6 linked regions of the Oryctolagus cuniculus genome follow. The protein of the gene in region 3 purifies or fractionates together with the protein of the main gene of each other region. This does not show direct contact. Links are inferred from orthologs where the notes say so. Each region holds a gene or a part of one and is shown on either strand. Other genes may lie near its edges.

Region 1 (4,690 bases), on a different chromosome or scaffold from region 3:
TTTCCCCTGCTGCCCAAGGTCAGGCAGTGTGCATGTGTGGGGCAAGGAAGGCGCCAGGCAGCCCCTGCCCAAGACTTGGTCCCCTTTCTTTCTCTGAGGGCTTCGCAAGTCCAGTGTTGGTTACTGAGGTGCATGTGCCCCCAGCAGTCCATGGCAGTGGCGTCCCCCATCGTGGGTCTGCTGGGCAAGAGAACGAGTGACGGTGATCCCGTCAGGGTGAGATGTGCCAGTGCTCCGATGCGGGGATGCCAGGAACACCATAATGCTGCCCTCTCCCCAGTCTTAAATGTACTGGGGCCAGCACTGTGGGGTAGCGGGTAAAGCCACCACCTGCAGAGCCAGCATCCCACGTGGGCGCCAGTTCTAGTCCCGGCTGCTCCACTTCCGATCCGGCTCTCTGCTGTGGCCTGGGAAAGCAGTGGAGATGGCCCAAGTCCTTGGGCCCCTGCACCTGTGTAGGAGACCTGGAGGAAGCTCCTGGCTTCAGGTTGGCCCAGCTCCGACCATTTGGGGAGTGAACCCGTGAATGAAAGACTTCTCTCTCCCTCTCCCTCCTTCCTTCCCTTTCTCTCTCTTTCTCTCTTTCTACCTCTGTACCTCTCTACCTCTCTCTAACTCTGCCTTTCAAATAAATAAATTTTTTTAAAAAGTAAATGTGCCATATTTGGGAAGTAATTAAGTGAATTATGGTTTGTGGAACATTATGCAACTGTAACAATCATGTGTATGGAACGTGCTAAAATGGTTCCGTGTTTGCAATGACATTAGAATAATATCCGCATGTGGAAAATGCGGGAAGGAGACCCATGACTGCATGGCAGGGGTGATTTGTGACAGGGTGCTAGGACTGAGTTTTTAACCAAGCTGAGTCGTGTCTGAGCGCACTTCCTCCACTGTACAGGTGTGGACTGGCCGGTGCGGGGCTGCCCAGCTGTGACCTTTGCACTTCTGGAAGGCTCTCAACTGCGAATGCTTGGATTGACTGTCTTCTTTTCTTTGCCCTGGACTTGCTGGTTGCAAGCTAGTGCTTCCCTCCATCCTGGTCCCCACACCCATAACTTAACCTCCTTGAAAGCAGTGACATGACAGGGAGGGCAGGGGCAGAACGCATGAGGCTGGTGGTGAGCAGCGGAGCCGGCAGGGCCACCCCGTCCTGTCTGCCCGCGTCACACGCACAGCGATGGTTCGTCCCGCCTAATCTGAGTGCTGTTCCCTCACTTGTTCCCTGTGGTGCTACTGAACCGGGCGTCTCTCCCACCTGAGTGTTTCTGGCCCATGCACGTAGGAAAGGGTTGGTTGGAGCGTGTTGCTCAGGGCAGGAGAGCATGAGCGGAGCGGGGTGGGGGTGGGGGGGCTCTGGTGGAGGCGTGTGTGTCTGCCGCTCACTTCTGATGGCTGAGATCCGTGCAGAAGGGTTCGTCTCACAGGTGGAGACACAGGCTTGACACGGAGTATCTCGCCCCAAAGTGTCCCCCTGGGGTCCTTGGGCTCTGCCCCGCCCTCATCCCTGCTCAGTCTGATGCAGACAGCACCCTTCTCCCTCCTCGTGCGGCCCCTGCTTGGCTCTGTCATAGTCCTCTTTTTATCCTTTTCTAGAAAGAAAAGGCAAAATCGAACAGTTCTGCCGCCCGAGAACCTAACGGCTTTCCCTCTGACGCCTCAGCCAACTCCTCTCTCCTCCTGGAATTCCAGGGTGAGTCGCATCCCCATCTTCCTTGCAGGAAACAGACAACGTAGATGGTGTCCCTGCCGAGACCATGGCTACTGTGCGTCTCGTTTCCGTGGCTGCTGTTCCGCTGGGCGCTTAGGTCTTTCACATAGCGCTCCCCCGTGACTGCGAGGCGGGGTCCCATTGAGAACGTCCTTAAAGTGACATCATCGGAAGTGCAGACCCCGCCTTGCGTAGGGCCCGGGTTTCTGAATCACAGGTGCTTTCTGTATGCTGAGTGTTTAATGGCAGTGCCTTAGAGCAGCGGCCAAGTCCGCCGTCAGCCTAAGCCCTGCGCGTGTCAGGCGGCGGTTACTGCTCGTGTGGCGCTGTCGCTCCAGCGTCTTGTTTTCATTCCAATGTCAGCCTGAGCCGTGAGCCAGACAGTGCTGAGACGCCCAGGTGGGGAAGCTCCTTGACCTGCGGAACGCTGCTTCCGCGCTGGTGTGGACGATAATGGACTCAGGAGTAGCAAGACTAGAGCGCGCCCAGCGTGAGACAGGTGAACCCGGGCTGCAGCTGCCCGCTCCACACCTGTGCTCCTGGCCCCAGCAAGGTCACCGCAGCTTCGGGAGACCAGAAGGGAGGGAGGCCGCTCTGTAGCTGTGTGGGGGACATTCAGTAGTCGCAAAGCTCTGGGAGATGTGCGGCTCTGTTTCCTCCGTGTGGTTTCATCCAGTAGTGAGCAGGTGCTGCGTGCTCTGGGCAGCCAAGGACGGCGTGTCCGAGCCTGCCCGCACGGGGTGCAGTGGAAAGACGCAGGTGTGCGCAGGGTATGACAGGAGCTCGGGGGAGCAGGGAGGCAGGGCCCCGCGCAGGGAGCGATGCTGGAGCTGGATGTCGGAACGTGCAGGGCTCTCCAGGAAGACTGGAAAGAGAAAGCTGTTCCTGCCTGGGGAGTGTGAGGCGGGGAGAAAGGCGGGGAGGCCACGAGAGGTGCTGGCGTGTGGGGCTTATCCTGGGAAGTCTCAGGAAGCCCCTCCATCTGTGCAGTGGAGCAGTGTGGAGCCGTGAGCCCTGGGGCAGGCCAGACCGGAGACTGGCCAGCAGGCCTGCTCGGAGATGCTGCAGCCCAGGCCGGGGCTGCAGGAGAGCCAGGCGTGAGCACAAGTGGTTTCATGGCGGGAGCATGGAGCTCACTTGGTGCCTGGGTGCTGGAGGCAGGGCTTGCTCTATGTTGTTATCTTAGGTGGTCGTGTTGGGCCGTCAGACAGAGCTGGCGGATGGCAGTCCTTTGGCCCCGGGGGCAGTTGGCTTGAAGGGCCTGAGCTGAGCCCCTGCAGGTACCAGCTCCAGACAGATGGGTCATTTCCTGCACATCTGTGGCAGGAGGGAGATGGGCAGGTACTGACCAGAGGCGCAGCTGCACCTCTGCCCTGGGCAGTGAGAAACCCCAGTCCAGGCTGCAGCTGGGTGCTGAAGGATCCCGAGCTTCCCGAAGTGCGCAGGTTGCATCAGGATTCCAGCTGCCTCTGTGCTCGGGGTACAGAAATGCCGAAGTGAATCCGCGGGAGCCTGCAGCCAGCCTGCAGGGCACAGGAGCCCTGTGCTGTGGAGACGCCGGGTGTCCTGAGTCCTGTTGAGGACAGCTGCCCGAGCTGTCGCCTTCGCTGTGCTTGGTTTCAGATGAAAACAGCAACCAGAGTTCGGCGTCTGACGTCTACCAGCTGAAGGTGGACAGCAGCACCAACTCGAGCCCCAGCCCCCAGCAGAGCGAGTCTCTGAGCCCAGCACACACCTCGGACTTCCGCACAGACGACTCCCAGCCCCCCACGCTGGGCCAGGAGATCCTCGAGGGTGAGTCTGCCTTCACGATTGTCTTCTTTGGAGGAAGGGGTTAGGGGAGCACCCCACGGCCTGGCACCATCAAGCCATTTGGTAACAGCTTGGCATAGTTACAAAAACTTTTTTTTTTTTTTGACAGGCAGAGTGGACAGTGAGAGAGAGAGACAGAGAGAAAGGTCTTCCTTTTGCCGTTGGTTCACCCTCCAATGGCCGCCGTGGCTGGCACGCTGCTGCCAGCGCACTGCGCTGATCCGATGGCAGGAGCCAGGTGCTTTTCCTGGTCTCCCACGGGGTGCAGGGCCCAAGCACTTGGGCCATCCTCCACTGCACTCCCAGGCCACAGCAGAGAGCTGGCCTGGAAGGGGGGGCAACCAGGACAGAATCCGGCGCCCGACCGGGACTAGAACCTGGTGTGCCAGCGCCGCAAGGCGGAGGATTTAGCCTAGTGAGCCGCGGCACCAGCCAAAAACATTTTTTTTTTTTTTTCAACTTGAAAAGCAGAAAGGGGCCAGTGTTGTGGCACTGCAGGTTAGGCCACTGCTTGTGACACCAGCATCCCGGATCAGTGCATTTCAGTCCTGGCTGCCCCACTTCCAGTCCTGCTCCCACTGACGCACTTGGGAAAGCAGCAGAAGATGGCCCAAGTACCTGGACCCCTGCACCCATGTGAGACCTGGAAGAAGCTCCTGGCTCCTGGCTTCGGCCTGCTCTGGTCCTGGTTGTTGCGGCCATCTGGGGAGTGAATCAGCAGATGGAAGACTTCTTCCTCTCTCTGTCTTGCCCTCTGTGTCATTCTGCCTTTCAAATAAAATAAATCCTTAAAACAAAAAAAAAAAAGAAAACTTCCATCCATGGATTCACTCCCCAAATGCCTATAATACCTGGGACTGGGCCAGGAGGAAGCCAGCAGCCAGGAACTCCATCCAGGACCCCGACATGGGTGTCAAGAGGGTGTTCAGTAGCAGGAAGCTGGGTTCAGAACCAGAACCAGGACTGGAACCCAGGCACTCTGATGTAGAATGCCGGTATCCCAGCCTCTGCAGCAGACACCCAGTGCCCTGCACGTGGGCGTGTTGAGGAAGGACTGACTACCCCGTCCGGAGAGGCAGGAGGAAGCATGCGGCTCGAGCGAGGCGCAGGCGCTGTGGAGCCTGGGTGACCTCTCAGACACCCTGAGACAGAGAGCAAGTGGAGGCC
Region 2 (5,328 bases), on a different chromosome or scaffold from region 3:
ATGTGATCTTGAAGGCAAATGGCTTTGGGAAGAGGTGGGGAGGTAGTTTTATTTTTGTTTGGATCAGAGTGCCCCATGATTGGTGGCCAACTCACAAGGAAGACAACTTTGAGAAATTCTTAAGGTTAGAGATTGGCGGGGTAGGGGGGATGGAGAGAGATGGATAGTACAAGAGTGATGAAACTAACAATTTATCAAAGTTGGTCTGGTAGTACACATTTATTTTTGTTATGCAAAGGAGTTTAAAGTAGAGAAGTGCCATGGAAGATAATTGCAAGAGCAATAAGTAGGCCCAGAAACTACTTAGAAAGGATGGAAATCCAGATGAATCATGCATTATACCTAAAGCTGAAGGTCAGTTTTAGATTTGCTTGGAAATAATTATTAGAATTAGAGGCAAGCATAAATTTTAAAATTTATAAAGGGGGCCAGCACGGTGGTGCAGCGGGTTAACACCTTGTCCTGAAGCGCCGGCATCCCATATGGGTGCCGGTTCGAGACGCGGCTGCTCCACTTCCTATCCAGCTCTCTGCTATGGCCTGAGAAAGCAGTAGAAGATGGCCCAAGTCCTTGGGCCCCTGCACCCATGTCAGAAACCTGGAAGAAGCTCCTGCTTTCCCAGGCCACAGCAGAGAGCTGGATCAGAAATGGAGCAGCCAGGACTCGAACCGGCACCCACATGGGATGCCGGCACTGCAGGCGGTGGCTTTACTCACTATGCCACAGCACCGGCCCAATTACTCAACATTTTTAAGTGAATGGTTTGGTTGCTTTTAACACTAAATTCCTTGGAAAAATATGATCCACTATAAACACAAAATCATACTTACTTTTGTGAATTCTAAGTACTTTCTACATGAAAGACTTTAAAACATCAGAGTACTTCAAAAAGTTCATGGAAAATGAATTAAAAACTAAGTATTTTGGTGCAAAAATTTTTGAAATCCATGTTTTTTCATAAGCTTTCTTGATTAAATTCCAAAAATGTTCACACTAAAATAAACATTCAACTCCATTTTCCATAAACTTTCTGAATAATCCTTACACTCCTCTGAATAAGCTAGCAAGAAGTGGTTTTATTCTGAACACCTAAGTCATACATGGTAATACTATGGTTGTATAACTGAAACATGACACACAGAGAAATAACCAAAGAAATGGCTTTTTTAAAGGAGTAGGGAAGGGCTTGGCTGAAATGCCCTTTATTTCAGAGATTTTTGCTCTCAACTCCCTAGATAATTATGACTTTGGGCTGATTTTTAACCTTTCCTATCTTTACATCATTTTCTTCAGTAACACAGGGATAATAATACCATCTTACATGGTGGTTGTAGATTATAGGAGTTACTGCATGGATTAAAAATAATGCACATAAAACCTTTGGAATACTCTTGGTCTCCAGTACGCACCTAATAAATGCTAGCTGCTAGCATTAGTATTATCCCATTCCTACCAGTCATACTAAACAATGCCTTGTAAGGAATACTGGACAGCCTCCGGATCCTTGATTCAATGAACCTGGAGCTCCTAAGAGTCTAGACTCAGTTTCTCTGGAGTCAAGACTGAATCTTCAGATGGGGAAGAGGTGAATTAACAAGATCCAAAGTAAAAATAAGAAAATCAAGGACACAAAATAGGAAGGAGGAGGCAACAGGCTCAGCATGCTGCCTCAGAGAAGACTCTGAAACTACACCACCAAAAATACTAAGAACTTAGAAAAGTTACCTATCCCTTTACCTGCGGAATGCCATCCTCTTCAGAAAGAGAATCCTTACTAAAACAGTAGCAGTAGCAAGCACATAGTCCCTCAGTGTTTGCAGCGGATTGGTTACAGGACCCTACCCCCATACACCAAAATCCTTGGATACTCAAGTCGACTATATAAACCGATGTAGCATTTGCCTATAACCTGTGGCACAGACTACTGGATACTTTAAGTAGGTGTTCTCTATGTTACTTATAATCCCTAGTACAATGTAAACACTATGTAAACAGCTGTTATACTTTAGGGAATAACAAGAAACAAAATCTGCACATGTTCAATACAGATGCAATTTTTTCTGAATACTTCTGGTCCACAGTTAGTGGGATCCACAGATGTGGAGCCCACAGTTACTCAAGGCTGACTGTATTTCGGATTTGTCTTTTGGGTCTCTAACTCAAACACACCCCAAAATGTGAATCCAACAGTGAGTGCTCCAATTGTCTGGGGCATCTTTCAAAAATGGAAGCCCTGACTCTGTAGAACGGAGGGTGGGCCTTGAGATTCTTTCTAAACAGCTTGCAGGTGATGCTGATATTGCCGCTCCACGGACTTCAATTGGAGCAGCAGGTGTAGCTTCATGTCGGTCCATCTTGGCAGCCACCCTCGTTGGCTAAGGAATTCCCATCCCACGAGCGAGCGGCGCAAAGTCGGGGAAAGTAAACTGCCCAAGGCCAAGGCGCTGAGAAGTTTGACGATGCCCACAGCCCGTGGTAATCTTTGTACCACAACACAGTCTACTCAAGAAAAGCCAGAGAACAGACGCCCGGGACCTCAGGCAAAGCTTCCGGGCGTCCTTAAATTGCATGTGTCTCTAGATTCATCCCAACCAGGCCCTCCCACGAGTAACTCCGCAGACTCCACGGTCAAGAATGGGCAGGAGCTGCTGAGGAACGTGAGGCAGCGCGAGCGCAGGGCGCAGACCGAGGCGGCCGCCCCCTCTCCCCTCGGTCCACCTCTCGCGGCCGCTCTGCCTTCTATGGGACGTTGCGGACACCCTCCGTCCGCGCTCGCCAACTGCTGGGGGCCTCCCAGGTTAAACGCAGACGCAAGCCCCACACGGGCGAATTTTGCAGACACACGCGGGGCTGCCACCCCGAGGCGAGACACTCCAGCCGGGGCGCCGCGGGCCGGCCCGCTGGAAGCAGCACGCGCGACCCCAAAAGCCCAGCTCCTCCGGCGCCCGAGGCGCACGCTGAGCCGGGTGGGCTCCGGGGGCGGGCAGAGCGCGGGGCGGGGATGGGGCGGGGAGGCCGGGGTCCCGAGAGGGGGAGACCGGAAGGGACCGCCGGGTAGGGGAGGGCTGGGGGCGGCGGTTACAAACCCCACACGCCAAAAAGGCGCGCTCTCTGGCCGGGCCGCCTTCACTCACCTCCCCCGTACACGCCGCCGCTCATGGCTGCCGTCGGCTTGATTCCTGGGCGAAAAGGTGCCGGGCGAAGTGACTACAGCGGCCGCCACACGCGCTGGCCCCCGACCCCCTTAACTTCCACCGCCACCCCCCTCCGGCAACAAAGCGGCGTCCACACACCCGAGAGCTCAGCCACACTTGCTGGCTCCCCTTAGCAGCCAATCACGAGGAGGGAGGCCTACCTTTCAGCCAATCATAATGCGGCTTCGCTGCATCCCCGCCGCGGCTCCGCCAGTTTAGCCAATCGAAGGTGGCCATGGGGGCGGGGTTGGGCGGAAAGCGACGGAAGGAGGGCAGGAGTTGGGTTGCGGGACTCCAGGGGGCGGAGCTTGCAGGGTGGGCGGAGGGAGCGGGAGAGCCAGGCGTCGGGGGGCGGGCCCAGGGGTGTGACCAGGCGCCGAGGCGCGGTGGGAACCTGGGGCGGGAAGGGGCTCAGGAAAGAGGCTGGAAATGGGATAAAGTATGGAAATAGGATAAAGTGTCAACGAGCAGTAATTCCTGACCTTGCACTGCAGTGAATTTACGGATTTTTAAAGATTTTCCATAAAAAAAGCATTTTCAACCAACATTTGTTGAATAAAATTGTACTCCACTTTGTGTAGGGTCAACCAGTGAATCAAACAAATTAATAGGCTCCTGCAATTTTTTTTTTTTAATTTTTTGTTACAGAATTAAATGGCCCGTTTATTCACTTAGAAACCATTGTTAACCCCAGACACAGGCATTTCCCAATCACCAGCAGGTCCCTTGGCAAAGGAAAACGAACTCATATCCGAACTTCGGCAAGGAGGGAGCCTCACGGCGCGCAGTTCTTCGTGGAGGTCAAGGGCAAGTTGAGGGCTCAGCCGCCAGTCACACAGAGGAGCGGCGTTTGGCTTCTCAGCAGGGAGAGCGGTTCACCGGCAGACTCGGGCCTGCGTGCAGGCCTCTGGCAGGTTCTCCCCACAGATGCCACCCTCGGCCACTGCCTCACAACTGGGAACCCCAATATTGATAAAGCAAGCAGTCAACAGGCGGGCAGACAGGAGAGCCCCGTGACCACCTCGCCAGGTCACAAGCCGACTTAGATATACAATTCCAATGATCAAAAAAGGCCAGAGGTTACAAAATCAAAGCCGGAAGCCAGGAGTGAGGCATGAATGACGCCACTTCCTCTCTGAACCAGGAAACACTTGACTCAGCGGGGAGGTAACGGGCCAATGCCTTTCCCAGGTGTCCAGCGAGAGGCAGGGACGTGTCCTTGCCTGGCGTCAGCAAAGGCCGAAACAGCTGGCCTCTGCACGCCAGAACTCCCACCAGGGGAAGGATCCTGCAATTTTTTAAAATGCTTATTCATGGCTAAGACGTGATGCATTGTACCAACTACATTTAGATAGGTCATCCGTTTCTTTTATCTGGTGAGACAGGTATTGAACGAGCTAATCGATGCTCATTCAGGCAAGCATCTAAGCCTAAATACATCTCCAGTCTGTCTGCTCTGCTTAGTAGATGATTTCCACCAGCCAGGCCAGCCCACTGTCGTTCTCCCCTCGATTACTGCAACCACTTGTCACTGCCTCTTCACAGGCTGCAAGCAGCTTCATCTATAAAGAGGCTCAAACCCTTCACGTCGCTGCCTGTGCCTGTGACAGCCCTTCTTAAGTCTACAGTCTAAGCATGTAAGGGCTGCCCCTAGCCATAGGAACATGGAATAGAACTCCCTCCTCTCCAGGCCTGCGGGGTGGTACAAAGTGTTGGGTGCCAAGCAAGGCCTGTGAGAAAACTCTTTCCAGTTCACTTGACAGTAGAATCGCAAGTGTATCTGATCAAACAGGAAACTCCCATCAACCCGGTGAGGTAATGCTGAGGTCAGCAAGCTATGGCCCTACGACCAAATCCTACCTGCCATCTATTTTTGTGCAGCCTTCAAGCTAAGAATGCATATTCCATTTTTTTAATGGGTTTTTAAAAAGTATTTTTAAGACTATTTTGTGGCATGTGAACATTTGATGAAATTGACATTTCTGTGACCTAAACTAAGTTTTATTTGGGACACAACCAAGCTTCATTCATTTATGGCATTTGCGCCATAAGAGCACAGAAAATGGCAGTTTAAGAGAATACTGGAAAATCATACTGAGGTGTTTTTGTTTAAAGTTTTTGCTCCATTTGATCA
Region 3 (4,690 bases):
CCTGTAGTCCCCTCCTAAATGGAGTCTCCCTCCGTGTACCCAAGCGGCTGGGGAGACGGCGAACGTGGAGGAGTTAGCCTTGGGGTTCGGGGAGACCCTTGTCTTCAGCGTCAAACCACTGAAGCCCCACCATCACTCCTGTCCCTGCCTTCCTCAGCAAAAACGGAAGCTGCGAATTTTCATTTCGAACACTTTCAACCCGGCTAAGTCAGATGCCGAGGACGGGGAAGGCACGGTGGCTTCCTGGGAGCTTCGGGTAGAAGGACGGCTCCTGGAGGACGTGAGTTCAAGGTCCACCGTGGTCGGCGTCCAGGGTGGGAGTTGCTGGGAACGGAGCAGTGCTCTCTGGTCGCAGGACGCCCGGCTGCTGCTCACAGCCCCTGTGAGAGGGACGCTCTGTGCCCTGCGCTGAGAGACAATGGTTCTTTGTATCTGGCTCCTACAGCTCTGGCCCTCACGGGGGTCGAATGGAGAACCTTATTGTCCTGGGATCTGATTTGTTGTTTACCTTCCTCCTGGTGCTGCTGACCGTTGGATTTAGCAGTATCTGCAGATGGTTCTGTTGTGTGGGTTTGTTTTTTGTTTTTTGGGTTTTTTTTTTTTTGTACTTAGCATTGGAAGCCATGTTTCCTCTGAGTCCCGAGGTCCTTGATCCCCACTGTGGCCCCCCTCCATCTTCCCGACTCTGATTGGAGACACCCCGCGGGGTAGATTTCCCTGGCAGCCTCTCGGTTGCTTCCCGGGGAGCATCAGCTAGCAGCCCCCAGACCGCCCACCCCAGCAGCTCCTTGGGAGAAGCTCACCTTTCTTCTCACTCCCCTCCGAGCTGCTGGCTGGCTATTTTTAGCTGCTCGCAGGCAAGCTAATTTGAATGCACTTTCGATGGAGAGTCAGGGCTTAGAGCCTCCGTCTTGTGTACGTAGGTCCAGCCCAGCTGCTGGTGGTGTCATTGTGTCCACATACAGCTGATTCCCTTTCCCTCTAAGTCGGGCTTTTCTCTGTTCTTACTCACTGTGCTACGTGCAGGGGTTCGTCTGAACTTTCCCCAGGGGTGAGTCAGTGTGACAGGCTGTTGCTTCAGGGTGTCTGTTGCTACCATGTCTGGTGTAATACCCATGAATGCCTACCTTCCCATCTCCTAAGATACTCAGAAAACATTTTTGAGTTGTGTGTGTTGTTTTTTTTTTTTTTTTTCGGTTGTTGTGGGTTCCTTTTTGGTAGGACTTTGTCTTGGGGAGCTTCTTCTGCCCTTTATTCTAACTTCAGCTTTTCCTCTCTTTCTCCAGTCAGCCTTGTCCAAATATGACGCCACCAAACAAAAGAGGAAGTTCTCTTCCTTTTTCAAGTCCTTGGTGATCGAACTGGACAAAGATCTGTATGGGCCAGACAACCACCTGGTAGAAGTAAGTGGTTCCACCTGCTTTCTGTGACCTGGAGCCAGACCTTGAGGTCCCTGGAGAGGAGAAGGTGCAAAGGAGAGAGCTGCCCCAGGTGGCCAGGACCGCCGCTACAGTTTGCACAGTAGCCTCCAGGGGGCGCTAGCAGTCTTAGTTTGCACCCAGGTGCGCTTGTCACGTTACCGGCCCACCTTTCACGGGGAGGCCTCTCCTACAGGCCAGGCCTTCTCTGCATCTTGCCTGCTGACAATGGCGAGTCGTAGTGAATCCATACACCCTTCTTAATTTTCCCCTCGTAGCAGTTGCTGCGTTTAAAGTGACTGACTGAGAGGGTACTCGAACTTGCTGAGGTTGCCATCGTAGTTCTGGGGCTCCCTTTTGGTACCTGCTTCATTAAATTTGCATACAAAATCACCAGAACCCCCTTTTTTCACAATGGCGTATTGCATTGCCACGGTGTCCCTCAAACCTAACAGTATTCTTTGAGACGCAGTTAAAGGCAGAACGAGAGCCCAGCATGCCGAGTGAACCTAACCTGCTCCTTTCTTTGCCAGTGTAGCCGCAGCCCCTAAGAGACATGGGAAGGTCTTTGGCACCTAATGAGGGAAGTAAGTCGTAGACTCGGTAGAGATTCGTAAATACACGTCCTTTTATAGCATAGAGTGTAGTGGCTGTGGAACCAGACAGAGCGCAGGCTGCAGCCCTGTCACGTGCTGTTTGACCCAGGCAAGGTCCTTTCCTTCTTCCGGGCACTAGCTTTCTCGGCTGTCGAGTGGGTATGTCTTGTCTGGCTGTTGGGGAATGAAACGAGGTGATCCAGGTCCATGCCTTAGACTGCTCTGGCACATAGTAGGTACCGAGAGAACAATAGCTGGTGCTGTGTTACTGTTCACGTCTGTGGTGCCCACTTTGTGTGCCTAAAATTGCCGCTGGCACTTGTGGCCACTTTTCACGCAACCCCAAAGAGTCCCAATTAGAGGTGTGACCCACGTATGCACAGGAGCACGTCGTAGTCCCAAAGCCGTGTGCACTTTTAAAAATGCACCTCTCCAGCAGCCTCAGTGCCAGAGTTGAGCCGTCAGTCACTATAGCAGCTCTTCCCTCCCGCCCCTCCCAGCTCTTCCTCTGGGAGAGCACCCCCTGACACCTTCCTCTCTGTAGTGGCACAGGACCGCCACCACCCAGGAGACCGATGGCTTCCAGGTGAAGCGGCCTGGCGACGTGAATGTACGGTGTACGGTTCTGCTGATGCTGGATTATCAGGTACCCTGTGAGGTGGGAGGGACCCCGGCTTGCACAGCCATATCCTCTGAGCCCCCGACTTTGAAGGGCTTAAGTTTGAGCGTGAAAACATTTGCACTTTAGTACAGGACTAGCGTCGTCGTCTCCGGGTTCCTCCGCGCGAGAGAGCACCACGTGGCTGTTAGATACTTGGACATGCCACCAAGTGTGTGCATGGGAGCCCCCTCCCCCACACGGTGCACCTAGGCCCGAGTTACCAGCTCTGTTCTCTCTACTCTCTGGTTTTCCACAGCCTCCCCAGTTTAAATTGGACCCTCGCCTGGCTCGGCTATTGGGCATCCACACCCAGACCCGTCCAGTGATCATCCAGGCACTGTGGCAGTATATCAAGACACACAAGCTCCAGGACCCGCACGAGCGGGAGTTTGTCATCTGTGACAAGTACCTCCAGCAGGTAAGGAGAGGAGCTGTTCTCTTGCTAGGATTCACCAGAGCTTTCAGTAATCTTAAAACGCCAACTTTGCAGCCAGTGTCATAGCGCAGTGCGTTAAAGCGCTGCCTGCAACCCCATATTTCCGTCTGGGTACCAGTTCCAATCTCAGCTGCTCTGCTTCCAACCCAGCTTCCTGCTAACGCGCCTGGGCAAGCAGCGGGAGATGGCCCAAGTGCTTGGCCCCTGTACTCATAAGGGAGACCCAGATGGATTTCCATTCTCCTGACTTTGGCCTGGCCCCACCCCCAGCCGTTGCAGACAGAGCTGAGCCAGCAGATACAAAGACCTTGCCTCTCTGTGCCTCTGCCTTCCAAGTAGATAAAAGAAATCTTCAAAAAAAAAAAAAAAAAAAAAAAAAAACCAACTTCTAGCAGCTTCTCCACTATCCCACAGATCTTTGAGTCTCAGCGTATGAAGTTTTCAGAGATCCCTCAGCGGCTCCACGCCTTGCTCATGCCACCGGAGCCCATCATCATTAACCATGTCATTAGGTAAGCGGTGTCCTACCAGCCTGCATGGGCCAGCTGTCAGCTGTTTGGGGGTTTTGAAGGCAGCTTGTTAAACAGAGCTGATGTTTAACATTAAGCTATATAAATACAATTGAACGCATTGACAGCAAGGGTAATGTATACTGCAAACTTGCACGTCCTAATTGACTATATTTTATTGGTGTTGTGCTCTCGGGTGTGTGTGCCTCTGTTGGGTCTGTGGTAGGAGTCCTGTGTGATGGTGTGTTAGTGCACATCCCTTCCTGATTCCCTGAGCACTGCTGTATCGTGGTAGCTGGAAGCCAGCCACGTTGAGGATGTTCAAGCCACAGGAACGAGCAGATGTGACGGGCCAGGTCCTTCCCCAGCCCTCCTTCGGGGGACCTCAGCATCTGTTGGCTCAGTGCTGATGGGAGGGATCAGCAGCCATTTCTCCTGGGTCCGTCCTAGGGCTTCCAGCTGGAGCTCGAACTCCATCCCTTCTGTTCACTTTTCTTGTTCCCAAGTTAGAGAGCGAGGCACTTCTAGGCAGATACGGAGTGAAGAAGAGTACTTCCTCCTCAGAGCAGCATTTCTCTGTAGTTAGACAGCGTCTCTCTGTAGTTAGACAGCGTCTCTCTGTAGTTATCGTCTTGCCTTCCTCGCTTTGCTGCAGATTCTATCCAGTCAGGGGCCTGAACCATCACTCACCTGGTAGCAGTTCCTATACCCTATAAGTTGGCACTGGAGCTGGTCTGTCCTGTATTCCCGTGCTTAAAGTTAGGGATGTGTGTGTGTGTACACATTATTTTCAGCGTCAAAGGTTGGGGCTGGCGCTGTGGCTAGGTGGATAAAGCTACCTCCTGTGACACCAGCATCTCATATGGACGCTGATTCGAGTCCCGGCTGCCCCACTTCCGATCCAGCTCCCTGCCAGTGTTCTGAGAAAGATGACCCAAGTGTTTGGGCCCCTGCTACCTATGTGGAGACCCAGGTGAAGCTCCTGGCTCCAGCCTAGCCCAGTGCTGGCTGTTGCAGTCATCTGAGGACTGAGCCAGCTGATAAAAGGTCTCTTTCTGTCTCCCTCCCTC
Region 4 (4,690 bases), on a different chromosome or scaffold from region 3:
AATGGATGGAAGATTTTTTTTATCTCTCCCTCTCTGTAACTCTGCCTTTCAAATAAATAAATCTTTTTTTTTTTTTTTTTTTTTTTTTTTTTTTTTTTTTGACAGGCAGAGTGGACAGTGAGAGAGAGAGACAGAGAGAGAAAGGTCTTCCTTTGCCGTTGGTTCACCCTCCAATGGCCGCCGCTGCAGCCGGCGCACCGCGCTGATCCTGGCAGGAGCCAGGAGCCAGGTGCTTTTTCCTGGTCTCCCATGGGGTGCAGGGCCCAAGCACCTGGGCCATCCTCCACTGCACTCCCTGGCCATAGCAGAGAGCTGGCCTGGAAGAGGGGCAACCGGGACAGAATCCGGCGCCCCAACCGGGACTAGAACCCGGTGTGCCGGCGCCGCAAGGTGGAGGATTAGCCTATTGAGCCACGGCGCCGGCTTCAAATAAATAAATCTTTTAAGAAAAATCAAACAAATGGATCTTACTGAATTCTGATTCAAGTAAACAAATTTATGACATTTATGTGACAACTCAAAATCTGAATACACTAGATATTCATTACTAAGGAATATCCAGTGTATATTGTATTATCTTATTTTCATTTAAGAGCCAGACAGATAAAGCTCACATGCACTGGTTCATTCCCCAAATGCTGGCTACACCCAGGTGAAGGCAGAATAGGTGTCTGAATGTGACTGGCAGGCACCCAAGTACTTGAGCCGTCACTTGCTGTCACAAGGGTAAACATTAGCAGGGTGCTAGAATCTAGACTGGAGCTGGGACTCCAACTCACATACTCAAATATAGAATGTGGTTGTCTTAACTGCTACACCAGACACCAGTTTTGCCTTTTTTTTGTATTTGTGGAAAAATACACATAAAATTTACCATTTTAACTATTTTAATTGTACAGTTCAGCAGCATTATGTACTTCCATGCACCATCTATCTCCAGAATTTTCACTCATCTTGTGAAACTTAAACTATACACATTCAACAAAAACTCTTCATATTCCCCTCCCCGGCCAGTCTTGGCAACCTCTGGCCACCATTCCAATTTCTGTCTCCATGAATCAAAGTGCTCTATGTACCTCACATAAGCGGAATAATATAGTATTTGTTCTTTTGTGATGGGCTTATTTCACATAACAGATCCCCGAGGTTGATCCATGTTGAAGCATGGGTCAGAATTTCCTTCCGTTTCACAGCTGAATGTTGCCTTCAATGTAAATACTACACTCATCTGCCAATGGATGCTTGGGTTTCTTCCATTCCTGGACAACTGTGAATAATGCTATTATGAAGATGGGTGTTGGGCCAGCGCCGCGGCTCCTTAGGCTAATCCTCCGCCTTGCGGCGCCAGCACACCGGGTTCTAGTCCCAGTCAGGGTGCCGGATTCTGTCCCGGTTGCCCCTCTTCCAGGCCAGCTCTCTGCTGTGGCCCGGGAGTGCAGTGGAGGATGGCCCAAGTACTTGAGCCCTGCACCCCATGGGAGACCAGGAGAAGCACCTGGCTCCTGGCTTCAGATCGGCGCGGTGCGCCGGCCGGCTGTGGCGGCCATTGGAGGGTGAACCAACGGCAAAAGGAAGACCTTTCTCTCTGTCTCTCTCTCTCTCTCTCACTGTCCACTCTGCCTGTCAAAACAAAACAAAAAAAAACAAAACAAAACAAAAAAAAGAAGATGGGTGTTTAAATAAACCTTTAAAATCTTACTTTCCATTCTTTTGTGTATATACATAGCAGGTGGAATTGCTACATCTTTTTGATGAACCTGCCATACTGTTTTCCACTGCAGTTACACCACTTTACATTGCCACCAATAAAGGGCTTAAGTTTCTTCACATCTTCACCAACACTCATTATTTTCTGGTTTCTTGGTAGTAGCCATCCAGCTTGGCATGAGGCGGTATCATCATGCTCTTGATTTGAATTTTCCTAATAACTGGTGATTTTGAGCATCTTCTTATGTATCTTCTTTGGTTAAATGTCTATTCAACTGCTTTGCCATTTTTAAAAATGGGGTCGTTGTTGTTGAGTTGTAGTTTTAAATATATATTCTGAAAATTAACCTCTTATAGAAATCTGGGGAGCCCTTGTGATGGGACCTGAAAATTAGTATGTTTTTTAAACTTCCCAAGTTTCGAGTACTGTTTTCTTAGGAGACAAAGTAGTAAGTATGTTTAAGTTAATTATCATTAGGATCCATGGGTAATTCATCATCTCAGAACAAAGTACAGAGTCTCCTTCTACCTGATTATGTATTCATCCAGTCCGGTAGAGTCCTTTTTTGTCGCAGGGTACCAGACTCGATTTTCTGACTCTATTCTTTCCTCCTTGCACAGACAGAAATGAAGAAAAAAATATCAACACATCAATACTCTATTTTTAACAATTATTAAAATTATATATGCCTTATTGTCATCCCTTTTCTTTCTGCCTTTCTGTAGAAAGTAACTTTCGACTTCTTAGTGGCTTATGGACTCACAGCATTCTCATTGCCTGAGCATGACTGTTATATATGGTAAGGGGCTCAGCCTGTGCCCGCTCAGACAGTGGTAGTCCATTTTTCATCTTTGTAGCACTACCCCTGAAAATATCCTTCCTTTCTGGTATCAAGAGGATGAGGCAGACCCATCTCTGAATCTTCTTGTCTCAAGAAATTAAATCAGTAGTAGGCGTGTAGCCTAACAGTTAAGATGCTGGTTAACATGTGCACATCACAGGGGCCTGTGTCACAGCAGGTTAAGCTGCTGTCTACAGTGCTGGCATCCCATATGAGTGCATTTATTTGAGTCCCAGATGCTCCGCTTCCAATCCAGCTCCCTACTAATGCACCTGGGAAGACAGTGGAAGATGGCCCAAGTCCTTGGGCCCCTGCCACCGGCATGGGAGACTCAGATGGAGTTCCTGGCTTCAGCCTGGCCCAGCCCCAGCCGCTGCAGCCATCTGGGGAGTGAACCAGCAGATGGAAGATTTGTTTCTCCCTGTCTCTCAGTAATGTTGTATTTCAAATAAATAAATCTTTAAAAGAAAAGAAAAAGATGCTCATGTCCTCTATCAGGGTGCCTGGGTTCCACTCCTGGCTCCTAGTTCAGCTTCCTGCTAATTCAGACCCTGGAAGGAAGTGGTGATGGCTCAAGGAATTGGTTTCCTACCACCCATGTGGGAGATCTGGATTGTATCTTGGCTCCAGGCCAGGGTCATTGCAGGCATTTGGGGGAGTGAACCAGCAATTCTGAAATGTCTGCCCCTCTCAGCCTCTCAAATAAATAAAAAAAAAAAAAAAAAAAAAAAAAAAAAAAAGAAATCAGCTACCCTCCAAGGACTCCTAACTTTTTTAATGGTAAGTATATTTAGGTACCAATATCTGGGTACTGGGGATATGCATGAGTGCTAGTAGAGGAGTGAAAGTACTGGACCTCACTTGGTGAGAGCTGGAAACTTTTTAAAGATAAAAGTTGACACTGATCTTTCCAATGGAACATACTACTGCTGCACCCTGCTGGTCTGCAGACTCAGCGACCACGCTGACGATCCTTCCCAGTATCTTCCTTTTATAAACGAATAAACAGATTACAAGAGAATTATGTAGATTACCCAAAAATTACACTGCAATGAAATGTGGTGGGAACTGGGATTGAAGACTAGCTCTGTTATCATTCACGGAGCCCCTACAGGTAACCCCACGCGGTGCTGTCTCAGCCTTGTCAGAAATACAAAAACTCAGTCACTTGCCAAAGCCCTGCCACCGCGCTGCCCCACTGAGGACTCCCAAGGCAAGGTCTTCCAAGCCTTGGGCGGCATGAGGAGAGGAAACACTACCCCGGTTTTCTTTCTCCCTGCAGGATTCGGGAGTGAGAATGACAAGGAGAGCCCTCCATGAGAAGGGCCTGAAGCCTGAGCCCCTCAGGAGGCTCCTGCCCCGGCGGGGCCTGCGGACAAACGCTCGGCCCACTTCGGTGCCCGATACCCGAGCTCCCGGGGGAGGAAGCAAGGCCCCCAGGGCGCCAAGGACGATCCCCCAGGGGAAAGGGAGGTGAGCGGGCTCCCCAGGCAAGCAGAGGCCCCAAGATCCGGCCACCTGCCATGCCCCAGGGCGGAACGGGCCTTCGGCTCCACACCCACCGCGGGAACGCCCCGGGCGAGCGGCTCTGCGGCTGCCTAGAACCCACTACGGTCACAGCACCCACCCCGCTCGCCACTGGCTCTCGCAGACAGCAGGCCCGCCGGCGCCCGCAAAGTGTGGGAAGGCCTCGGAGACGAACTCGGACCACACCCTGACTGCCTCGCTGCGAGGTTTCCCGCGCCTCCAGCGCAGGGGAGCAGGGACACCAGGCTGCCTTGCCCACCGCAAGCGCTGAGGATGCGCGCCGTGCCGCAGCGTCCTCCACCCGCGCGAGAGGGCCGAGTCCTGTCAGCGCAACACCACAGGGTCCGCACTGGCGGAAGGTTTCCACAGCGCAAGGGTGCAGAAAATGCTGACCTCGAGCTGCCTGCATCACCTCACGACACCGACAAGGCCTTTGCGGACGCCCAGGCATGCGTCGAGGCCTGCGCATGCGTCGAGGTCCGCGCGTGCGTCTAGGCCCGCGCATGCGCGAGGCCCCGTGCGGCGTGTCTCCGTAGCCCCTTCGCAGGTGGGCCTCGCTAATAGGCGTGTGGACCGGGTGACCTCCAGGGCCAGAGCGCGTGCATCAGGAACTT
Region 5 (5,221 bases), on a different chromosome or scaffold from region 3:
AGCACCGGAGCCGGGTCAGCAGCAGAGTGGCCAGGCCTTGGCGCCGGGACTCCGGAACGGGACGCGGCATCGCAAGCAGCGGCCCTGCTGCCCCACCATGCCTGTCCCTCTTCTGTATTGTAAGTTAGACATTCCCACCTCCTGGTTTATTCCCCGAATGCTCACCACAGCTGGGGCTGGGGCAGGCTGAGAACAGGGGCCCAGAACTCAGGCGCGGCCTCCCACGTGGGAGGCAGGGACCCAAGCACTTGAGCCGTCATCTGCTGCCTTCCAGGGTGTGCGAGAGCGAGAATGCTGGGACAGGAGCAAAACTGGACTGGAGCCCTGGCACTCGGATACAGGACCTGTGTGTCCCAAGCGGCATGTCAACTGTTGTACCAAACACCCACCCCCCCTCGAAGCTTTCATTGAGTAACATTACTGACATGAAACCTGTTTAGTCTGAGGTCCTGTTCCTACCCAAATTATACAGGAATCGGCTTTGACCCAAAAAGAGATTCAATTTGAAATCTGAATTAAGGACAAATCTTTCAGTGTTTTGAAGAACTGGAAAACTGCACAGTGCCAAGAGTTACCTGGTTCTAAAAAGTATGTACATGAAACCAGGGTTCAACCAGCCATTTGGTCATGCAGGGGGAACTAGTAACCCCTAGTTAGTTAATATACCCCCCCCTTTTTTTTTTTTGACAGGCAGAGTGGACAGTGAGAGAGAGACAGAGAAAGGTCTTCCTTTGCCGTTGGTTCACCCTCCAATGGCCGCTGCGGCCGGTGCACCGCGCTGATCCGATGGCAGGAGCCAGGTGCTTCTCCTGGTCTCCCATGGGGTGCAGGGCCCAAGCACTTGGGCCATCCTCCACTGCACTCCCGGGCCACAGCAGAGAGCTGGCCTGGAAGCGGGGCAACCGGGACAAAATCCGGCGCCCCGACCAGGACTAGAACCCGGTATGCCGGCACCGCAAGGCAGAGGATTAGCCTAGTGAGCCGCGGCGCCGGCCAATATATCCCTCTTAAAGTGAGGGCACAGGTGACTTCTCTCCCCAGTCTCCCTAATACCCATGAAAACATCTGCAACACCGTCAATCCGGACTTGGGAATAAAACGGCCTTGCCGGGCTCCAAGTCAGCACGCGAACACGGACACTTAGTCAACCTGCACGAACCCTGCATGGACCTCAGTGTCTCTTCCGCATTTTCGGGAGCTTGCACTCGCTGAGCTCTGACATCCCAGGGACCCACGAGCAGGCAACCCCGGGCGTGAGGAGCTGCACGCGCTACGTCTCCCGGGCTCATGCCCACCTCTGGCGCTACACCAACAAACCCTGCTCTGCAATCGGATGGGGGCTTTCGGTGAGCGGCACAGTGGAGCGTCCCTCATCCCCAGCAGGCAATCGCGGGACGGCATCGCCCAAGCACAGTCCGCCTGGATGCAGGCAAGGACCCTGCGCTGGAGACCTGAGCGGGGCTGGCTCCCATCGCTGGCCGTGAGGAGGCAGCCACGTCCTCCCCACGCAGAGGAAACTGGACAAACAAGGCTCAGTGCAGCGGCTGTTTCTGCTGATGCGACTGACGCTGACGCTGGGAACAGAAGGGTCCGCGGGCCGCAGGGCTCGGGGATGCGTGAGACGCTCTGTCGAGCTCTGGGGACCCTAGGGGACTTCAGAAGCGGGGCAAGCGGCAGTCTTGGGGTAACGGGGCTGGGAAGGACACCGCAGTGGGCACTGTGGGAAGCATCTGACGAGGAGAGCGAGAGATCGGTCTTAGGAACGCAAGGCCGTGTAGCAAGATATCTCACGTAAATTATCCTGCAGCTCTGGTACCTGACTCAGAGAGTTCCCAAACCACTGTTTTGCACCACCGTACTCTCACAGCGAGACCCGAGAGGGGGCGTCCACTCTGCTACCACGGTAGAGACAGAGCACTCACAAAGAGAACACCCTCTCCCCGACGAGCTGCGGGCGGCCCTGACCTTGACGGGGGCTCAGGGACTGCATCTCGGTGCAGGGGCGCGAAGCCTCCTAGGGAAGCCTGCAGCAGTCCCGGCCCCCAGAGAAGCTGGGGTCTCGCTGTCGGCACCCGGAGTCGGCGGCTGATGACCTTCACAATCCCTCCGGTTCTTCCGAGACCTGAAAAGCCAGGCTGCAGCTACGCGGCCGACCCCCTGGCTCAGACGGCGGGCGAAGCCGAGCTGCCAAGGCCAAGGGCATCCTCCCCCTCAGAACCCGGCAAGGCCGCAGCACAGGCTTCCCAGGTAGAAGCTTCAGGAACCGAGCCTAGGTGGGCCCTCCCGGGGGGGGGGGGGTCAACAAAGAGCACGGCGGGCAAACAAAGAGCCCGCGAGTCAGGAAGGCATCAGAGGGAGGGAAACGCCAGCCCAGAGCTGGGGAACCGGCGTGGGCAGATCGCAGAAACCACCGCGTCGGGCGGGGGGCTGGCTCCCAGGGGCAGCAGGACAGAGCAAGAAGCAAGTCAGGAAAAAAAAAACCAAACCACAAGCCAGGGAGAAGGCACTTAGCTTAATGGAACCGGGGAAAGCGCCGCGGGCAGGGGGAGGCGACCTGCTCGGCCACCACAAAGAGGAGACGCGGGGTCCAGAGAGCACGCCCCGCACCTGACCTTGGCGTCCAGCCAGAATCCAAAAAGCCCTAACTGGACGGCCAGACGCGTCCGCGCGGCGGCGACAAGGCCACCCCAGGCTCGCCCACGGGCACCAGCCCGCTTCCCAACGCACCGGACTCTTCCTCGGGGGGCAGGCGGCTGGCTCGTGTCACCAAGTCCCGCAGCATCCCCCAGGTCCCCGACCACCACCCAATTTAGCTCTGCCCGACCCCTGACCCGCACGACGGCTCCGGGTCGCCCGGAGGACGCCCCCCGGCCTGGCCCGCTCGGGCCCCGCTCCCCCTCAACTTCTCTCCCTTCTTCTCCGCGCTGCCTGCGTCCTGCGCACCTGCTACCCCAGCCCCGCAGGGACCGCCGAGCCTGCTGCTCCGGGCCAACGGCCGCGCGTGGCGGGGACTCGCCGGGGCCCCCCGGGGCCTGGGCTCGGCTCCTCCGGGCCGCAGCCTGAGCGCCGCACTCCGCGACCTGCAGGCCCCGCGGCGGCTCCCACACAGCCCCGCACAGCGGCCGCGGGGCAGGGGCTCCCGCGTGCCCCCCGCCCAGGGCCTCCACAAGTTTCCAAAGAGGCGCAACGTCTTCTCCGGAGTCCTCCCCCCCCCCGCGTCGCACTCCCCACCCGGAGCGGCAACCACGGCCTTCCCGGGCCCGTCCCCCCGGCCGCCTCCTCTCTTCCCGCACCGCCCCCTACTCCCAGGCCCCTCACAAGACCTCTCCGCCTGGGAGAGAAAGAAACGACCACTCACAGCTTCACTACATTCTCCACCACCGCCGCCATCTTCCCTGCTCCTCTCCCTCAGGCCGGGAGGGCCCGGAGCCCGCAGCGCGCAGGCGCCGGCGCCGCGGCGGGGCCCCGGGTGCCGCGTCCCTGTGCGCACGCGCCGTGGCTGCTCGCGAGCGCCGGTGCCCCGCCCACCGCGCCGCCGCGCGCGCGCCCTGTCTCTGCGCACGCGCCGCCTGTGCGCGCCGGGGAGCGAGGAGCTCCGGGCCTCTGGGCGGGGGGCGCCCGGCCTTCGGGTTTAGCGCAGCGAGGGAGCGCTCGGGCCGGTGCAGGACCGAGACGGCAGAGGCTGGCGGAAGCCGGGAGGCCCAGAGACGGGCTGGACGTATCCTGGCTCCTCGCCGACCTTTGTGGCTTCGGTTAACGCTTTTACCGCACGGGTGCGGTGCGGTGCGGTGCGGTGCGGTGCGGGCGGCGGGAGGTGAGAGGGGCGCGCCGCACCTCCGGCCCCCTAAGCGCGGGCAGCCTCGGTGCTAGCTGGCGGCCGGGTCTCTCCTCCACCCGGCTGAATGGCGACTCGGGCCCCAGCGGAGCCCTGGAATCAGCTCCCGACGGAGTCGCCCAGGGTCGACCCCAGCAGACTGAGAGACCTGCTCTGTGTCCTGGTGGGCTTCTTGATCGGTCCCTGCTTTTCCAGACCCTGCCCCGGCCGCCTCCCGCGCTCAGGCGCCCCCGGCCCAGCGCCCCAGGCTTCGTCCTTGCCCCTCGCAGCGCCAGTTCCAAGATGCGCCTGGGGCCTGCCCCCACGTGTTAGCATTTCCGAGTGAGGCCGTGTCTTCCGTCCCTGCGATTCAGGACGGTGCCTGCCTGGTCGGAGTCGAGAGGAACTGGCCGTTGCTTACCCTGCACCGCACCTGAGTTTGAGTGGTGTCGCAGTGTGGAAGGGAAGCCGGCACGATCCTGTTACCCAGAGGACTGCGGGGCCCCGGGGGTCAGAGCTCCCCATGCTAACCTCCTGCACCCTAGGAGGTTAGAAGAGCTCGCTTGGGTCCCTGCCACCCACAGGGCAGATCTGGCCTGGGTCCTGGGCTGCTGCTTGCCAGCCCGGGCTGTGGCCGGCACCCGGGACGTGAACCAGCGATGGAAGATCTCTGTCTCTCTGTCCTCCCCCTCTCCGCCTTTCAAGTAAAATTGAATGCATAGTTTGCGAAAGTTCGCCAGCACTAAGCATCCGAGTGCACCTGCCCTATGATCCAGCAAGCCCCTCCCTCTATGAGAACGAGGGATTACCACATCACGAACGAATCTCCAGCACTTAATATCGATCCAGAGAGGCCAGATGCACGAGAACACACTGTACGGGCTCATTTACGTCAAGTTACACAACAGACTCATTATCGCGAGAGGGCAGGAGAGGGGACAGGAGCTGGCACTGGGGGGCGAGGACTGTTATACATCCCCCCTGTTCTCTTTGTAACCGGCAACACGAGACCTGTGCATTTCTCTGTATGTGTTTCAATGAAAAGTTTAAATTTAAAAACAGCAGGGGGCCGGGGCTGTGGCATAGCAGGTAAAGCTACCGCCTACAGTGCTGGCATCTTGGCTGCCCCACTTCCAATCCAGCCCTCTGCTGTGGCCTGGGAAAGCAGTGGAAGATGGCCCAAGTCCTTGGGCCCCTGCACCTGCGTGGGAGACCCAGAAGAAGCTCCAGGCTCTGGCTTCGGATCGGTGCAGCTCCAGCCATTTTGGCCAGTTGGGGAGTGAACCAGCGGATGGAAGACCTCTCTCTCTCTGTAACTCTGCCTTTCAAATAAATAAATAAATCTTTTTTTTTTTTTTTTTGACAGGCAGAGTGGACAGTGAGAGAGAGAGAGACAGAGAGAAAGGT
Region 6 (4,690 bases), on a different chromosome or scaffold from region 3:
ACGTGGACATCACCACCTCAGGGAAGACCCCCTTTCCTGCTGTGTGTCTTGCAGCCCTGTCCAGCGTGTGGAGCCCTCCCCCTGCCTGCCGGGGGCGAGGAGACACAGGCAGTGCGGGGTGGGGGTGGCAGTAGGAGACGACAGCACCTTTCCCCAGGTCAGCGAGACAGAGGCAGGCAGGCCGGGCGCGAGGAGGCGGACAGCAGTGAGGGGGTAAGGGGGCGAGGCTGGGGGCTGAGCTGAGGACAGAGGCTGCTGGGGTTCCTCTACCTGGGGGGCCGGCACCGGGGAAGCCTGGCTGTCGGGGGCCTGAGGGCCGAGGCCAGCTCCTTTGGCGACGGGGGTGGCCGGGGCTGGGTCTTGGGCAGGAGGCGGGGCGCTGACTATGACCGAGGCGGGCACGGAGAGGTGGGGGCCCTCTGTGGAGAGAGGCTGCTGGCTCCTCTCCTGCAACGGGGCAGCCCGCACAGGGGTCAGAAGGCCACGCCCGGGGACCCCGTCCACACCGCCCCTGCCCCAGGGCTGCAGAGCAGGGGGTGGCGGGCGCAGCAGCGGGACCCGGCTGGCTGGTCCCACCCCTAGCCCGCCTGGCCCTCCTGCTTTCCTGACCTGGCCATCACGTTCACTCAGTCATTTGCTGTGCACTCCGAGACCCCTCCCCGCCTGTCAGCCCATCCCTCCCCGTGGCTGTCAGCCCGCGGTCTGTCCAGCTCAGCCAGGGGTGGCCACGTGTCAGCCCCACCCCACCAGACCCTGGCCAGCCTCTCTCAGCTCTGGGGTCTCCCAGTTCCCAACACCCCTCACCCTCGCCCGGGCCCCGAGTACCTGGGGCAGGAACATCTGCACGGAGTCCTGAGTGAGGATGGCTGTGGTGGCTACAGGTGGCGGCTGCCCGAGGACCATCTTCTCCGGGCTGGACGCCAGGCCCGGGCTGGGCTGGGGCGTGCTGGCCTGAGGCGGGGCGGTGGCCGCAGGGGCCGTGGCCTGCGGGGACTGCTGCACCTGCGGCTGCTGGAGGCCCAGGGGCAGCGGCGTGCTGGCTGCGGGCGGTGCTGGCGGTGCGGGCTGCACCGTGAGGACTGGGGTGGCCTCCCCGGAGGCGGCGGCAGCAGGTGTGGCGGGCTGCACCAGCCCATCGGCGGCGTTGAGCATGGCCACGGCGCTGGGGGGCAGGGTGACGCCCTGCAGGACGGTGGTGGCGGTGGGCCCCGCGGCCGCCGGCTGACTCTGCGTAGGCAGGCTGCCCGCCGCCAGCGACACGGGCATCTGGAAGAGCGCGGGCTGCCCCACCTGGATGGGTGCGGCCGAGAGGATGTGTGCGGCGCTGTGCGCGCCCGAGGGCGGGGCCAGCACGGGGCCCAGGCTCAGCGGGGCCGCCAGGTTCTGGTTGGTGAGGATGGGGTTGGCGATGAGCTGTCCGCCCGCGTGAGGCGCTGCGGCCGCCGCCAGGATCTGCCCGCCCACGTTGGCCGGCAGGGCGGAGAGGGGCTGCGGGAGCTGCACGGCGGCGGGGGCGCCCGGCAGCAGGAACTGGTTCTGGCCGGGCAGCATGTGCTGTGCGGGGATGACGATGCTGCTGCCCTGGTTCAGGAGGTGCACGCTCATGGGTTTGCTCAGCGCCCCCGGCGGCTGCGGCAGCGCCGCCCCGGTCGTGGTGGCGGGCGGTTGCTTGAACACGCTGGCCTGCAGGGCCGGCGCGGGGAAGCCGGACAGCACCACGTTCTGGCCAGCTTTGCCCGCCGCCATGAAGGTCAGGTTCTGTGGCGCCTTGGGCTGCGGCGGCAGCGCGCCCGGCTCGCCCTGGATGGTGAGCGTGGCACCGGCGGGCGCGAAGGGCTTGGGCGTCAGCTGGTAGAGCTTGGGGGGCAAGACCCCGGCCGGCTTGGGCTGGATGGGCGTGGGTGTGCGGTGCAGGATGACGTTGGGTGCCGGGACCAGTGGCGCCGCGCCGAGGCCCGGGGCCACCGCCAGCGGCTGTCCCGAGGGCGCCCCGCCGGCTGCGGCCGTGGCGGCGCCCGCGCCCGCGCCCGCAAACACGGAGTTCCCGTTGAGCGTGGTGGCCACGGCGGCCGGGAGGCTCTTCTGGATGACCAGGCCGGCCCCCTGCGGGGAGACGCCGGCTGAGGCCAAGGTCACCGGCTCCGAGGGGCCGGCCGCCGAGGCCAGGTAGCCGCTGACAGGCACCTGCTTGGCCAGGAGCTGAGAGGCGGGCGGGTTGAGCGCCATGACCGGCTGGCCGACCACCTGGATGGGCGCCAGGCCGAGCGTGGCCGCCGTGGCACCCCCGGGGCTGCCGTTGGGCAGGCCCTGGAGGCCCGGGATGGGCTGCAGGGTCACGTTGCCCAGGCCCACGGGCTGCAGGAAGGGCTGGACGCTCAGGGCCTTGTTGACCACGTCCTGGGGCGGCACCAGGGCCTGGTGCGTCAGCACGGTGGGCGGGGCCTGCAGCCCCAGCAGGTCTGCGCCGCCGGGGAACAGGGCCTGGGGCCCCGCGGCCACGGCTGCAGCGCCGGCGGCCCCCGCTGGGCCTGCCCCACCGTCCGCCGGCTGCAGCGTGGGCAGCTGAAAGGGGCCCAGGTCCAGCTCGGCCTCGGCCTCCAGCGTCTGCTCCGTGATGTTGGCCTCCTGGAGGCTCTGCTGGAGGATGTCGCAGGGCTGGTCGGCGCCCCCGCCGCCCGCCGCCCCGCCCCCCGCGGCGGGCGAGCCCAGGATGTCATCTTCCAGGAAGTCCAGGTCCACGCTGGGGGCCGGCTGGCTGGGCTCCGGGTTCAGGTGGTTACCGGAGGCTTCTTGCACGTGGAGCTGAGGCCGGGGAGGGTAGGAAGGAAGGAGGGAGGTTAGCAAGGGGTGGAGCTCAGCCGGGGCCGCAGGGCGGGATGCCCGGGCGGCAGAGCGGCTGTTTCCGGAACATTCCGGCCTGGCTGCCGCTTGCCCTGGCCTGCGTTTCCCTATGGCACCTCTCAAAGGTTTAAAAAAAAAAAAAATCAGGTTTTTTTGCTAAGCTGTACCAGCCCGCACCACGCATCTGGGATTCCAAATCCCAGAAGAACCCTGGAACCCACCGGCCTCACGGCGTGCCCGAGTCACGTGCCTCTTCCTACGTCTGACCGTGGCACACGCACACGCACCGCAGCCCCTGTCCAGAATCTCAGTGATTCCAGCTCTGATGCACGCCTGGCCCCACAGCGGTCCGAGGAGCTATGACGTTTCCAGCGTGCACTGTGTGTGACATCGCACGCGTGTATGAACTCGGGCAGCGGGGCTGGTGCTCGGGGACAGGTTAAGCCACCGCCTGGGATGCACATCCCAGTGCCAGCTCCAATCCCGGCTGCTCTGCTTCTGACCCAGTTCCCTGCTAGTGGCCTGGGAAGGCGTCAGACCCGCGTGGGAGACCCGGATGGAGTTCTGTGTTCCTGCCTTTGGCAGGGCCCGGCCCTGGCTGATGCAGCCATTTGAGAGACTGAACCAGTGGATGGAAGACCTCTCTCTCTGCCTCTCAAATAAATAAATAAATAAATCTTTAAAAAATAAAAAGAATGTATATCATGCAAAGCTCCGCAGTGGTGTCTGCTTGTGGGACGTGAATCTCAAGTTCTGGGTGGGCGTTTTACATGGTGGCTTAAGTTGCCACTTGGGACACCCAAATCCCATATGGGAGCGCCTGGTTACTCTGCGTCCAACCCAGCTCCCTGCTAATGTGCACCCTGGGAGGCAGCAGGTGACAGCCCAAGTACTTGGGTCCCTGCCAGCCACGTCCCACGTTCTGGGCTCCTGGCTTCAGCCTGGCCCAGCTCTGACTGTTGTGAACATTTGGGGAGTGAACCAGCCAATGAAAGATTTCTCTTTCTCTCTGCTTCTCTCTCTATCTTTCAGATAAAAAGAATGAAAATAAATTAAAAATGTAAAACCAGTTTGATGTAATAAAACAAAAAAGATTCCAAATCAACCCACATGGCAGGCTGTGGTGCCCAGCCCCGAGCAGGTGCATACGAAGCGTCCTCTGCTACCCCACTGTCATCATCGCCACCCAAGGAGGCGGGCGGAGACTATGTGGCACAGCAGCAGAGGGAGAGGCGAGCGGGACAGGGCAGGGGGACAGGGGAGCGACTCCCAGCCGACTGCAGGCCAGGCAGGGCGCTGTGCCCTCGGGGCTCCCAGTGCGAGCAGAGCGCCTAGGACCGGTTCTGCAATGCACTGCCCCCAGGCGTGGCCGCACTCAGAACCCATGGGGGCCTCACAGCCAGGAAGGAGTGAGAGCGACGATGGAGGATGGCCAGCGGCAGCCCTGCGGAAGTGTCACTGTCGCTGGCTTACAGACGCGGCCCCCTTGCTGCTGTGTTTCTGGATTTAAACATTGTGCCACTGGAAAGTTAACATCACAGCCACCATCAAGGCCACAGCCGGTGGGGTGGGGGAGTAGGAGGCCTCGGTCCCTGGGAGCCCCAGAGCGGGCACCTGCCACGACTCCCACACTGCCCTGTGGGCCCTCGGCTGCTGCTCTGGGACTGACTGGGGCCGGCCTCGCCCACCTTGGCCCAGAGTCCTCACCTCTGCTCTCGCCTGTGCAGCCCGCGTGGCCTGGCAGCCACTGTCCCGCCTCTACTCCACGTGGCCCTCCTCCCAGCAGGGACCTCCTGGGGACAGGCTGGAGCCTTCCTCTCACCCCCCAACCCCACCTCCCAGGCCCTCG

What was found.
Region 1: the proteins of SMARCD1 (region 3) and BCL7B purify together in Homo sapiens (affinity purification with mass spectrometry; 4 studies listed by BioGRID and IntAct, counting the BioPlex papers as one, with this or other methods). This does not show direct contact. The link is inferred for Oryctolagus cuniculus from reciprocal best matches to the Homo sapiens genes SMARCD1 and BCL7B.
Region 2: the proteins of SMARCD1 (region 3) and ACTL6A purify together in Homo sapiens (affinity purification with mass spectrometry; 8 studies listed by BioGRID and IntAct, with this or other methods). This does not show direct contact. The link is inferred for Oryctolagus cuniculus from reciprocal best matches to the Homo sapiens genes SMARCD1 and ACTL6A.
Region 4: the proteins of SMARCD1 (region 3) and BCL7C purify together in Homo sapiens (affinity purification with mass spectrometry; 5 studies listed by BioGRID and IntAct, counting the BioPlex papers as one, with this or other methods). This does not show direct contact. The link is inferred for Oryctolagus cuniculus from reciprocal best matches to the Homo sapiens genes SMARCD1 and BCL7C.
Region 5: the proteins of SMARCD1 (region 3) and DPF2 purify together in Homo sapiens (affinity purification with mass spectrometry; 9 studies listed by BioGRID and IntAct, counting the BioPlex papers as one, with this or other methods). This does not show direct contact. The link is inferred for Oryctolagus cuniculus from reciprocal best matches to the Homo sapiens genes SMARCD1 and DPF2.
Region 6: the proteins of SMARCD1 (region 3) and BICRA purify together in Homo sapiens (affinity purification with mass spectrometry; 5 studies listed by BioGRID and IntAct, counting the BioPlex papers as one, with this or other methods). This does not show direct contact. The link is inferred for Oryctolagus cuniculus from reciprocal best matches to the Homo sapiens genes SMARCD1 and BICRA.

What each region holds. Positions count from the first base shown.
Region 1 is NC_091450.1:50,488,233-50,492,922, forward strand, and holds part of BCL7B (B-cell CLL/lymphoma 7 protein family member B), read left to right. Parts: exon of another isoform or gene 1-1,596; coding exon 1,597-1,693; exon of another isoform or gene 1,694-1,697; intron 1,698-3,334; coding exon 3,335-3,505; intron 3,506-4,690. UniProt on the Homo sapiens protein: Positive regulator of apoptosis. Plays a role in the Wnt signaling pathway, negatively regulating the expression of Wnt signaling components CTNNB1 and HMGA1.
Region 2 is NC_091435.1:100,246,460-100,251,787, forward strand, and holds the start of ACTL6A (actin-like protein 6A), read right to left. Parts: upstream 3,346-5,328; 5' UTR 3,160-3,345; coding exon 3,135-3,159; intron 1-3,134.
Region 3 is NC_091442.1:53,421,795-53,426,484, forward strand, and holds part of SMARCD1 (SWI/SNF-related matrix-associated actin-dependent regulator of chromatin subfamily D member 1), read left to right. Parts: intron 1-157; coding exon 158-280; intron 281-1,286; coding exon 1,287-1,403; intron 1,404-2,558; coding exon 2,559-2,660; intron 2,661-2,931; coding exon 2,932-3,093; intron 3,094-3,525; coding exon 3,526-3,623; intron 3,624-4,690. UniProt on the Homo sapiens protein: Involved in transcriptional activation and repression of select genes by chromatin remodeling (alteration of DNA-nucleosome topology).
Region 4 is NC_091450.1:6,278,517-6,283,206, forward strand, and holds part of BCL7C (B-cell CLL/lymphoma 7 protein family member C), read left to right. Parts: intron 1-3,831; coding exon 3,832-4,026; 3' UTR 4,027-4,690. UniProt on the Homo sapiens protein: May play an anti-apoptotic role.
Region 5 is NC_091432.1:6,291,800-6,297,020, forward strand, and holds the start of DPF2 (zinc finger protein ubi-d4), read right to left. Parts: upstream 3,618-5,221; 5' UTR 3,391-3,617; coding exon of another isoform or gene 3,359-3,390; intron 345-3,358; 5' UTR 261-344; coding exon 166-260; intron 1-165. UniProt on the Homo sapiens protein: Plays an active role in transcriptional regulation by binding modified histones H3 and H4. Is a negative regulator of myeloid differentiation of hematopoietic progenitor cells. Might also have a role in the development and maturation of lymphoid cells.
Region 6 is NC_091449.1:10,029,378-10,034,067, forward strand, and holds part of BICRA (BRD4-interacting chromatin-remodeling complex-associated protein), read right to left. Parts: intron 2,803-4,690; coding exon 826-2,802; intron 448-825; coding exon 271-447; intron 1-270. UniProt on the Homo sapiens protein: Component of SWI/SNF chromatin remodeling subcomplex GBAF that carries out key enzymatic activities, changing chromatin structure by altering DNA-histone contacts within a nucleosome in an ATP-dependent manner.